Xenopus tropicalis: one gene and its partner. The protein of the gene in region 1 purifies or fractionates together with the protein of each later gene. This does not show direct contact. Links are inferred from orthologs where the notes say so. Each region holds a gene or a part of one and is shown on either strand. Other genes may lie near its edges.

What was found.
Region 2: the proteins of tap1 (region 1) and tapbp purify together in Homo sapiens (co-immunoprecipitation; 6 studies listed by BioGRID and IntAct, with this or other methods). This does not show direct contact. The link is inferred for Xenopus tropicalis from reciprocal best matches to the Homo sapiens genes TAP1 and TAPBP.

The regions. Positions count from the first base shown.
Region 1 is NC_030684.2:73,373,969-73,378,533, forward strand, and holds the start of tap1 (antigen peptide transporter 1), read right to left. Parts: upstream 2,876-4,565; 5' UTR 2,783-2,875; intron 313-2,782; 5' UTR 300-312; coding exon 1-299. UniProt on the Homo sapiens protein: ABC transporter associated with antigen processing. In complex with TAP2 mediates unidirectional translocation of peptide antigens from cytosol to endoplasmic reticulum (ER) for loading onto MHC class I (MHCI) molecules.
Region 2 is NC_030684.2:72,160,112-72,164,525, forward strand, and holds the start of tapbp (tapasin), read right to left. Parts: upstream 2,895-4,414; 5' UTR 2,743-2,894; coding exon 2,697-2,742; intron 1-2,696. UniProt on the Homo sapiens protein: Involved in the association of MHC class I with transporter associated with antigen processing (TAP) and in the assembly of MHC class I with peptide (peptide loading).

The DNA of each region.
Region 1 (4,565 bases):
TAAAGCAGATTGGCACTTCTATGTGGGTTCACTAAAGAGGTGAGACTAATATAAATAGGAACAAGCAGACTTAGTACAGTGCAGTACAGGTTTAGATGATCTCTGTGGAATGGGAGCCTGAAGCTTCTACTGAGTACACGTAAACTCAAGATCAAAAACAGCAACCGTGACAAGCCAACCAGCCAAGGTAATATTAGAGGGAGATCTGAAGGTAAGATGTGAGAGAGAAATGATCCTATTAAGGGCAAGGTGGCAATATCAATTGCAAAAAGACAACTCAGAGTCCAGAAGGGATTCATGGTGAGCTTGAATCTGCAAAGAGAACAACTGAGTTATGCCAAGGTGCAATGGAGAATTAAATGTAGTGGATTAGGCTACCCCGATATGCCCCCATATTTGAATATACATCTCTTTGAACAAAAACAACAAATACTGATTATAGCGATTACATTTACAAATATAACTCTACATAAAAACTGTAAAATACTTCTTTTATATAGAGCCATGCCTAGGTATAATAATCAGGCACAATTTTATTGGTTAAAAAAAGCCTTTTAACAGAAAGAAATTTCATAAAACCACTTAAAAATTTAGAACCCAGCACCATCGCGTCTACCACTACCACAGTGCTCCAAATACGTAGTATTAAATAACATTAGCCTAAAGTAACTTACTTAAGAGTAGCTGCCTGCATCACCAGTAGTGATGTGCGGGTTGGCCTGATACCCGCGGAACCCACAAGTTAACCCTCGGGTCGGGCGGGTTCGGGCTGAGCTCTTCCGCTCACCCTCCCTGCCCGCAATCTTACACTGCCGCTTCTCTATTTATAGATAAAGTAAGGAGCCTGAAAGAAAAAATCTTCCACGCAACTTATGTGTCCGGACACATGAAAAGATCTAATGCATTTGAGTAAGCAAAACCAGATTCCCAGAATCAGGTGAAACATTAAACAATAACTTGCCTGCATCTGATAGTGTAAACAGTGCCGGATTTGTGTTCCGGGCTCCCCGAGGCTGCCCCCCTCTCCCCTCAGATGCAGGTGAGTATGACCCAGTGACTTGTTATTTTGCACACCCTCATAAATGAGCCCTAGACTTTATACATGTACCAATATTTTCGTACAGTTATCTGCAGGTGAAAGACACCCCTGATACACATGTTGGCTAATGCGTGGTACAATGGCAGAAATTCACTTTCCACTGTTCCAGTTCTGCTCTGGCACCAAATCATATGTCAAAAACCACAGCACCCACACTATAACTGTAACATTAAAATTAGGGATGCACCAAATCCACTATTTTCAGATTCGGCTGAACCCAGAATCCTTTGTAAAAGATCTGGCTGAATACAGAACGGTATCCAATTGCTAATTTGTATATGTAAATTAGGATCGGAAGGGTTAAAAGGCGTGCATGACGAAATATTTTCTGCTTTTGTGTTTATATGACAAAAACTGATTTTAAGGATTTGAATTCAGTTCAGCCAGGAGCATGGATCTGGCCAAATCCAAATCCTTCGGAAAAACCCCGAACTGAATCCTGGATTCGGTGCATCCCTAATTAAAATACAGCTATCGGACCCCTTATCCGGAAACCCGTTATCCAGAAAGCTCCGAATTACGGAAAGCCCATCTCCCATAGACTCCATTTTAATCAAATAATTCAGAATTTTAAAACTGATTTCCTTTTTCTCTGTAATAATAAAACAGTACCTTGTAATTGATCCCAACTAAGATATAATTAATCCTTATTGAATGCAAAACAATCCTATTGGGTTTATGTAATATTTTATTGATTTTTTAGCAGACTTAAGGTATGGAGATCCAAATTACGGAAAGACCCCTTATCTGGAATACTCTTGGTCCCGAGCATTCTGGATAATGGGTCCGATACCTGTATATGTGATGTCTGGGGGAATGGAAGATTTAAGCTATGAGGTTAGACTGTCGAGGTTGGGGGTGTTTTCTCTGGAAAAGAGGCGCTTGCGAGGGGACATGATTACTCTGTACAAGTACATTAGAGGGGATTATAGGCAGATGGGGGATGTTCTTTTTTCCCATAAAAACAATCAGCGCACCAGAGGTCACCCCTTTAGATTAGAGGAACGGAGCTTCCATTTGAAGCAGCGTAGGTGGTTTTTCACGGTGAGGGCAGTGAGGCTGTGGAATGCCCTTCCTAGTTATGTGGTAATGGCAGATTCTGTTAATGTCTTTAAGAGGGGCCTGGATGAGTTCTTGAACAAGCATAGTATCCAAGGCTATTGTGATACTAATATCTACAGTTAGTATTACTGGTTGTATATATAGTTTGTGTATGTGAGTGGATAGATTGGTAAGTATAGATTGTGGGTGCTGGGTTTACTCGGATGGTTTGAATTTGATGGACTCTGGTCTTTTTTCAACCCTATGTAACTATGAATAACCCCTTTATAGTGAGGAGGGTGCAGCTGTGGGATGGTGCATAGCAAGGCTCAGTCCTGGACTAAGATTCAGAACAGTCCCTAGCACTGAAGCAGGAGCAGAGTCCCACCAGCCCACTAAATAGTGACTATATATGACATCTATCAGTGGGCCATCTTGGCATTTGCCAGAATTCACAGATTGTCAGTCTGTGCCTGGTAAGACAAGACTGTGTCTGTAACACTGCTGATCTACCTGCAGTCTCAGTTTTCTCCCTGTGTAACCCTTAAGATTTACTGTCCGTAGTCCGTTCATGTGAGAGTTGCAGTTTGTACAAAATGCCCTTGTACATAAGCCAGGGCATGCAAAGGAGCCCTCACTTACCTCTCAAAAGCTGTGCGTCCCCTCAGTGTACCTGCTCGCTCCTTTGTATGCCTTGTCTGTGTGTGCCGCCTGGCTTGGCTGCAGGGTGCGCAACTCTATTAGAATTAGAATTAAAAATCCCCGTATATTCCTGGAAACGCACAGCTTCCAGTAAAGCGAAAGCGAAAGCAAATCATACTGCCAAAAACATTGCGATTATCTGATCTCACCGCGGCAGTGTTGCTGAAGCCTTTATTCACGGCAGTCAGAGAATGGAGCTGTACAAGGCTGGTTACTCTGCGAGGCTTTGATGACTGGGTCTGGCTAGGTAAGTGCTATAGCAGAGTGTCCGCGGCAGTATCGCCTCCATTTATTATTAAATTTTCCCTCTCTTCATAACTAGACTGTCTCTAGGCTGATTTCCTAACATCGGGCAAAATTACTACGTTTAGTTACCCTTAGCAACCATTCATCAGTTTGCTTTGATTAGTGTGTTGCAGGTAGAACGTTTGATTGCCTAATATAAAGAAAGTAAAATTGGGGTACACAAAGTACTTTTTTGTATGGGGAAATTCCACCATTTGAATATTTCCTATGCTCTTAGTTGCTAGAAGACCAAAGTCCTGACAAAGGGTTCACCTCACTGCCTTACTGGAAAGCCATGTGCTAATTTTTATGTATTTATATTTTGTTTCTGGTCTAGAGAGGAATTCTTGAGAGCTGTAATGTCGCCCCCACCTTTCATAATAAAGAAAAGGGAGAAAGTACATTTGAAATGGCAAATAAGAGGTTATCAAGCATGTAGTGGGTGGATATCAAGAGGATCATTTAAAATATATTGGGCTTTGCTAGTAAGGCACTTTTTAAAGGAGACATATCCTATAAAAATTTACAATGTGCCAGGGAATTATACTCCTCTAGATATAGAAGGATTGTGCTAAAAAAGTTGTGTTTCTGGCTGATTTATTGAGAAATCCGCCCAAAACCTCACTAGCCCCGCCCATCTGTTCCACTTCCTGCTGGCTGAATTCTCTGGATGCGCTGGGGAGCCGATGGCCCTCCGTACCCTGCACTATAAGATAGGAACCAATCAGCAGCTAGGCTGACCTGATAGGGAACTGAAGCCTGTCTTTGCTTGTGGGAGTGCAGGGCTGTGATTGGCTCTCCCCCTCCTACTGTGCTTCTGGCAGGGACCGTTAGGACACGCCCACTCTTCATTTCACACTGGACAGAGAAGTGAGAGGATCTATAGGGAGCTCCAGTAAAGGGGCCATTGTTACAGATAGGGTTAATGTTTAGCCCAAAGGGAAACCAGCACCGTATATTATTCATAATTGCCTACAAAATTAGGGTTTTCCCATTTATCCAATATGTCTCCTTTAATATAGCAACAAAAAAGTGTAATACAGAAAAGATAGAGTTTAGTGTAGAGATTAGTGTTGCAACAAACACTGATAAGTAAGCATAAGATTTTAAGTTACCAAACATATATTGCCTGGAAGCATCATAGGGTATTGGGTCTATATATGTACTCTGCTCACATCTTGTAGTCTTAGAGATTTATTACAGGCATTGTATACGCCTGCTGCCATAAGATGCAGCTACTGTTTGTGGGACAAACTGCTTCAGAGCATCAGTCCAGGGCAAGATCTGCAGTGGGATTGGGTGGATGAAGCTGCAGATAGAGGATCCTTTTCAAAAAATAGGCCCATGAAACCCAAGAATTCCTAGACACAGCAGCCATGGGCCTGGAACATTACTATCGGGATATGCTGTAATATATTAAATTGAAGTGCTTTTCTCA
Region 2 (4,414 bases), about 1.2 Mb from region 1:
ATGTAGCATTTCGTTTTCTGATGTCTCCCACATTTCCTTGTGAGGAGCCCAAATGTAACTGCAGGCAACAAATCTCCCTGTGTCCCATCACCCTAAATAAAACCCAGGGATCTGTTCAGCAGGGACAAAGATAAGAAATATCTGCTAATGTATAAAAATAGAATGGTTTATAGATTCAGTGATTCTGGTGAACTATTATATAATAATAAAAATGAAAAAAAGTGTGGAAAATTAATTCTAAATACATTCTAAGCAAGGTATTGGTGAAACCATAGATTATGCAGATCCCACGACTGCTGAGGGGCCCAGAAGCTACAGGAACACACAGTATGGCACTGACTGATAAACAGTTTCAGTATACAGTATGTGTATGAAAAATGTATTATTATTGCTCCAATGTTTGGAATGATTTTGCTGTAGGACCCAGTAATTTCATTGCTAGTGGCCCAAACTTTAGCATGGATAAGGCATCAGCAGATATTTGCATCAAGAGTACTGGAGTAAAAGCTATATAGCTAAATCAAACTATACATTGCTGCTCACTGACTGGGGGAAGGGTAAATGGCCGTTACAGGCATCAGTGCAACATGCAGAGCTCTACAAACAAGTGGGTGCAGGTGTGGGGTGGGATCACGTGCCGTGCCTCAGCACAACAAATAAGATTAACAAAGAGATAAAATGTGCACCAGTTGTTTCTGTAAGGGGTGTAAAGTTTTTGGATTTGCTGAATACTCCACATACTCCATAACACTAAACCCTAATCTGCTTATTTCAGTTTAAGAACTTTTTAAAAACATTCCATCATCTGTGAATAAATAACCATCAGATACAATTTTCCAGAGCTTTACACTTACACATTAGGGAGCCTATTTATCATCCTTTATAACATTTATTTATGCTGGAAAACAGTTTTTTGTCACCTGATTGCTGCATTTTTACAATATTATTTCTAGGGATCCACTGAATCCAGGATTTGGTTGGGGATTCGTCCAAGATTCAGCTGAATCCACGCTCCTGCCCGAACCAAATCTGAATTCTTAAAAACAGATGACTTTGTCACAGAAACACGGATGTTGAAAATTTAACCCATCTTTAACCCTTCAATATCCTAATTTACATTTGTAAATTAGGATTCAGTTTGGTATTTGACCGAATCCTTTACGAAGGATTTGGGGTTCTGCTAAATCGGAAAATAGCGGATTCAGTGCATCCCTAATTATGTCTACGGGGCCCTTACGGGTACCCATTTTGGTTAAGGTAGTCATAACTCAGTCCTTCCAAACAGAGTTGCCAGCTTGTTGGCCCATGTAGGATACCCATCAACAGGCCTGTCTGACCAATATCTGGCTAAAAATTGCCCAGATATCAATCGGGTGACCTCCCCAAATCAGCAGATCTTTAGGTCTATGGCAGTTTTAAGGGTTTGTCCAAAACCAGATTCTGAAGAATGTGTTGGGATTCAGTGGGATCCCAAGCTGAAAACAGTATTGGAATCCCTAGTTTCCATACAAATATGCTGCACACAACTCTAAAACTTAAGAAAGGAAATCAAATGCTGGTTCTAACAGCTAGTTTGGTTATTGGATCCAAAAGCACAGAATACTACCTATAATACTGTAACATTAAAAGGAAATACCACTAGCTAAAGGAGGGGCTGGAGAACAGGGGCGGGCCAAGCCGACCGGGCGCCCTAGGCAACCCCGCCCACCTCCCTGCCCCCCGAACGGCGCATGCGCGCCAAAGCACAGGAGGCGGTGCAGGGGGGGCGGGGCAATTAGATCGGTCATTGCCTCCGCCGCTAATGACAAGCGGCGGTGGCAATGACAAAGTAGCACTAGGGGTAGGCAGGAGAGGCTCCTTCCTGGCGCCCCTCAATCGTTGCGCCATAGGCAGCTGCCTCTTCTGCCTACCCCTAGTTCCGGCCCTGCTGGGGAATATCTAGGCAGAGAGAACTACAAGATGTCATCCCCCACTATATATGGTACTTGCCAGACAAAGCTACTTTGGTGTTTGTACCTTCCTTTAGATCCCCAGACAACCTTTGCCTGTAAGAGTGACATTGTAGCACAGGGGAGCCGAAATCGAAAATATAGGCTAAGTCGCGGGCCAAATTTTTTTTTCTACTTAGTAGTAGAAGGATAGATTCGTCAAAGTCACAGCACAGTCAGGCACAGTCACCATGGGCCATATAAAACAGCTAGGTTGGCCGGATTCGGCCCCCGGCCTTGTGTTTGACATGTGTTGTAGCACAACAACATGATGGCACACCTGTATTTTGGGTCAAATCTGCATGCTTTGGCTGAAGATCTGGGAGTTGAAGTTTTACTTTTACATAGTAAAATACATTTTGTAACAAAAAGTCATTGTCTATTGTGTGGAATCGAATTTAATGTAATATATTATCTATTTAGTCATTGCATTGTTAGACAGGCCTTCAGTGTGCAAATACATTCACAGCTCAAGTATACACTAAGCAATATTAAGTAGAAAATGAAAGCAAATGTTTGGAAAGGCCCTAATCGGTGACTGAAATCAATAAGAGCAGCCAGACCGTGAGGGGGGGGGGGGGGGGGAGGAAGGCAGAGGAAAGCAGGGACAGTTTGGGGAGAAGATTCGGGGGGACAATATAAGGCAAGAGAGTTGGGGCACGCTGCAAGTAGGAAAACTGTACGCAAAAAACCTTTTATGACACTTACCAATCAGCAGAAGGGACGGCAGGAAGTAGAAGAAAGTGGGATTCATCCTGGCAAATGTGTGCAGCACAGAAACAGACTCCCTAGACCTGTGGCCGGCAGCTGTACAGAACAAACGTTACCGTGTGTGCAGCGCTTCTCCCCCCTCTGCTATTCCGCAGCTTCACTGATCCCACAGTCTCCTCCTCTCCTCCCTGTCTGTCTCTTTCACTTTCATTTTCACTCACTTACACAGCCCCTGTGCTACAAGCATGGAGTAACTCAATCTGCAGTGTATTCTTCTTTGGCCTATTTGGATTAATTTACTAATAGGAACATAACCAGACCTTAACCCTTTCATTGCTGGACAATTTAGTCAACCTAAGCTAGAGTTTTTGTGTAATTCCACTTCTCTTACAAGATAAAGGCTTTTAAATGTCTGAAAATGGGGAAAACAAATCTCCATAATATAAACACAAAAATACAATTTTCAATTTCAATTTTGAAAGTCCTGTGTCTTCTTAATGTGCCAGTACCAAAGATTTATAGTGTAACACTATTTTGGCTTAGATTAGCCAAGCCCAGGCTAGTAGCGTAGTGTAGCGCATGTGTTACATGCGACCCTTAATTCTTAGGCGGGGCCTCCGCTATATGGAGCTGAGGGTATAGCTGAACTATAACTTTCTGAGGCTGTGTAGTGCAGATGGTATAAATGGACGCCAGAGTGGTTCTTATGGTGAAACTATGATACAGATTTATTGTCCCAGACAAAGCAGTGGTGAAATCAGGGTAATCATATACTCACAAGACACAAGCAGTATGATGGTACAAGTTATATACGCTCTGATGCAGAAGAGAGGGTATGCACCTTTTTATCCCACCTCTTGGTAGAGTCTGGGACGGGATACACATCTTTCAACCAGTACCCCTTGGTACTTTGTGGCCCTGCACTGAGGCAATATTGCCGGATAGGAGACTACTCCTGGATCTAATCACTCCTTTGGTGGGGCTAATGGCTGCCCTTTCTAGCTAGAGCTGACTATGCACACTTTCCTAGAAAGTGCTATTAAATAATCTGCTGTGCTTGCTTATCCTCATTTACGGGGCCCTGTCCCCAACTTTCACTAGAGGTATAATGTCCTCTAGGGTACAATGTCTTCTGGGGCCTACAGTCTGCTCCCAGGCTCAGATGGAGCTCTGCTTGGGAAACAGCATGCAGCAAATTACATAACTAAACCTGAGCATAAAAGCTTTGCCCAATAACAGTGAAGGTGTGAAGAGGTAGGGTGTAAAGCCATAGGGAACTTAACCCCATGGGTCCCTACAATAGTTATATGGTGATTTCTCACTTGTATAGGTCAAAAACTCCCAGCAGTACACTACCAAATTTCCAAAGCACTGCTCCAGAAAGCTGCATACTTTAAATTTCAAGGCCAAAAGTTCCACCAATAGTAGGTTTACCCCAGAAAATAATACATTTTTAGAAAGAACAGATTCTGGCAAATTCAGAATAGGTACAACTGTCTGTTTACTCCAATATACCAAGTTGTAATGCTTTCCTAAAGTTGTAATTTTTTATATAATTTTTTTGTGAAATTTTTGAAAAATTGCTTCAAAGCTTCCAGTCTATAGTATCTTATCTGCTACAGGTCATTATGTAACCAGATAAAACATCCTAAATATTAATGCCAGGGGTCTATGGAACAGTTTGATAACCAATATGCATAGGTTCACCTAAGTAT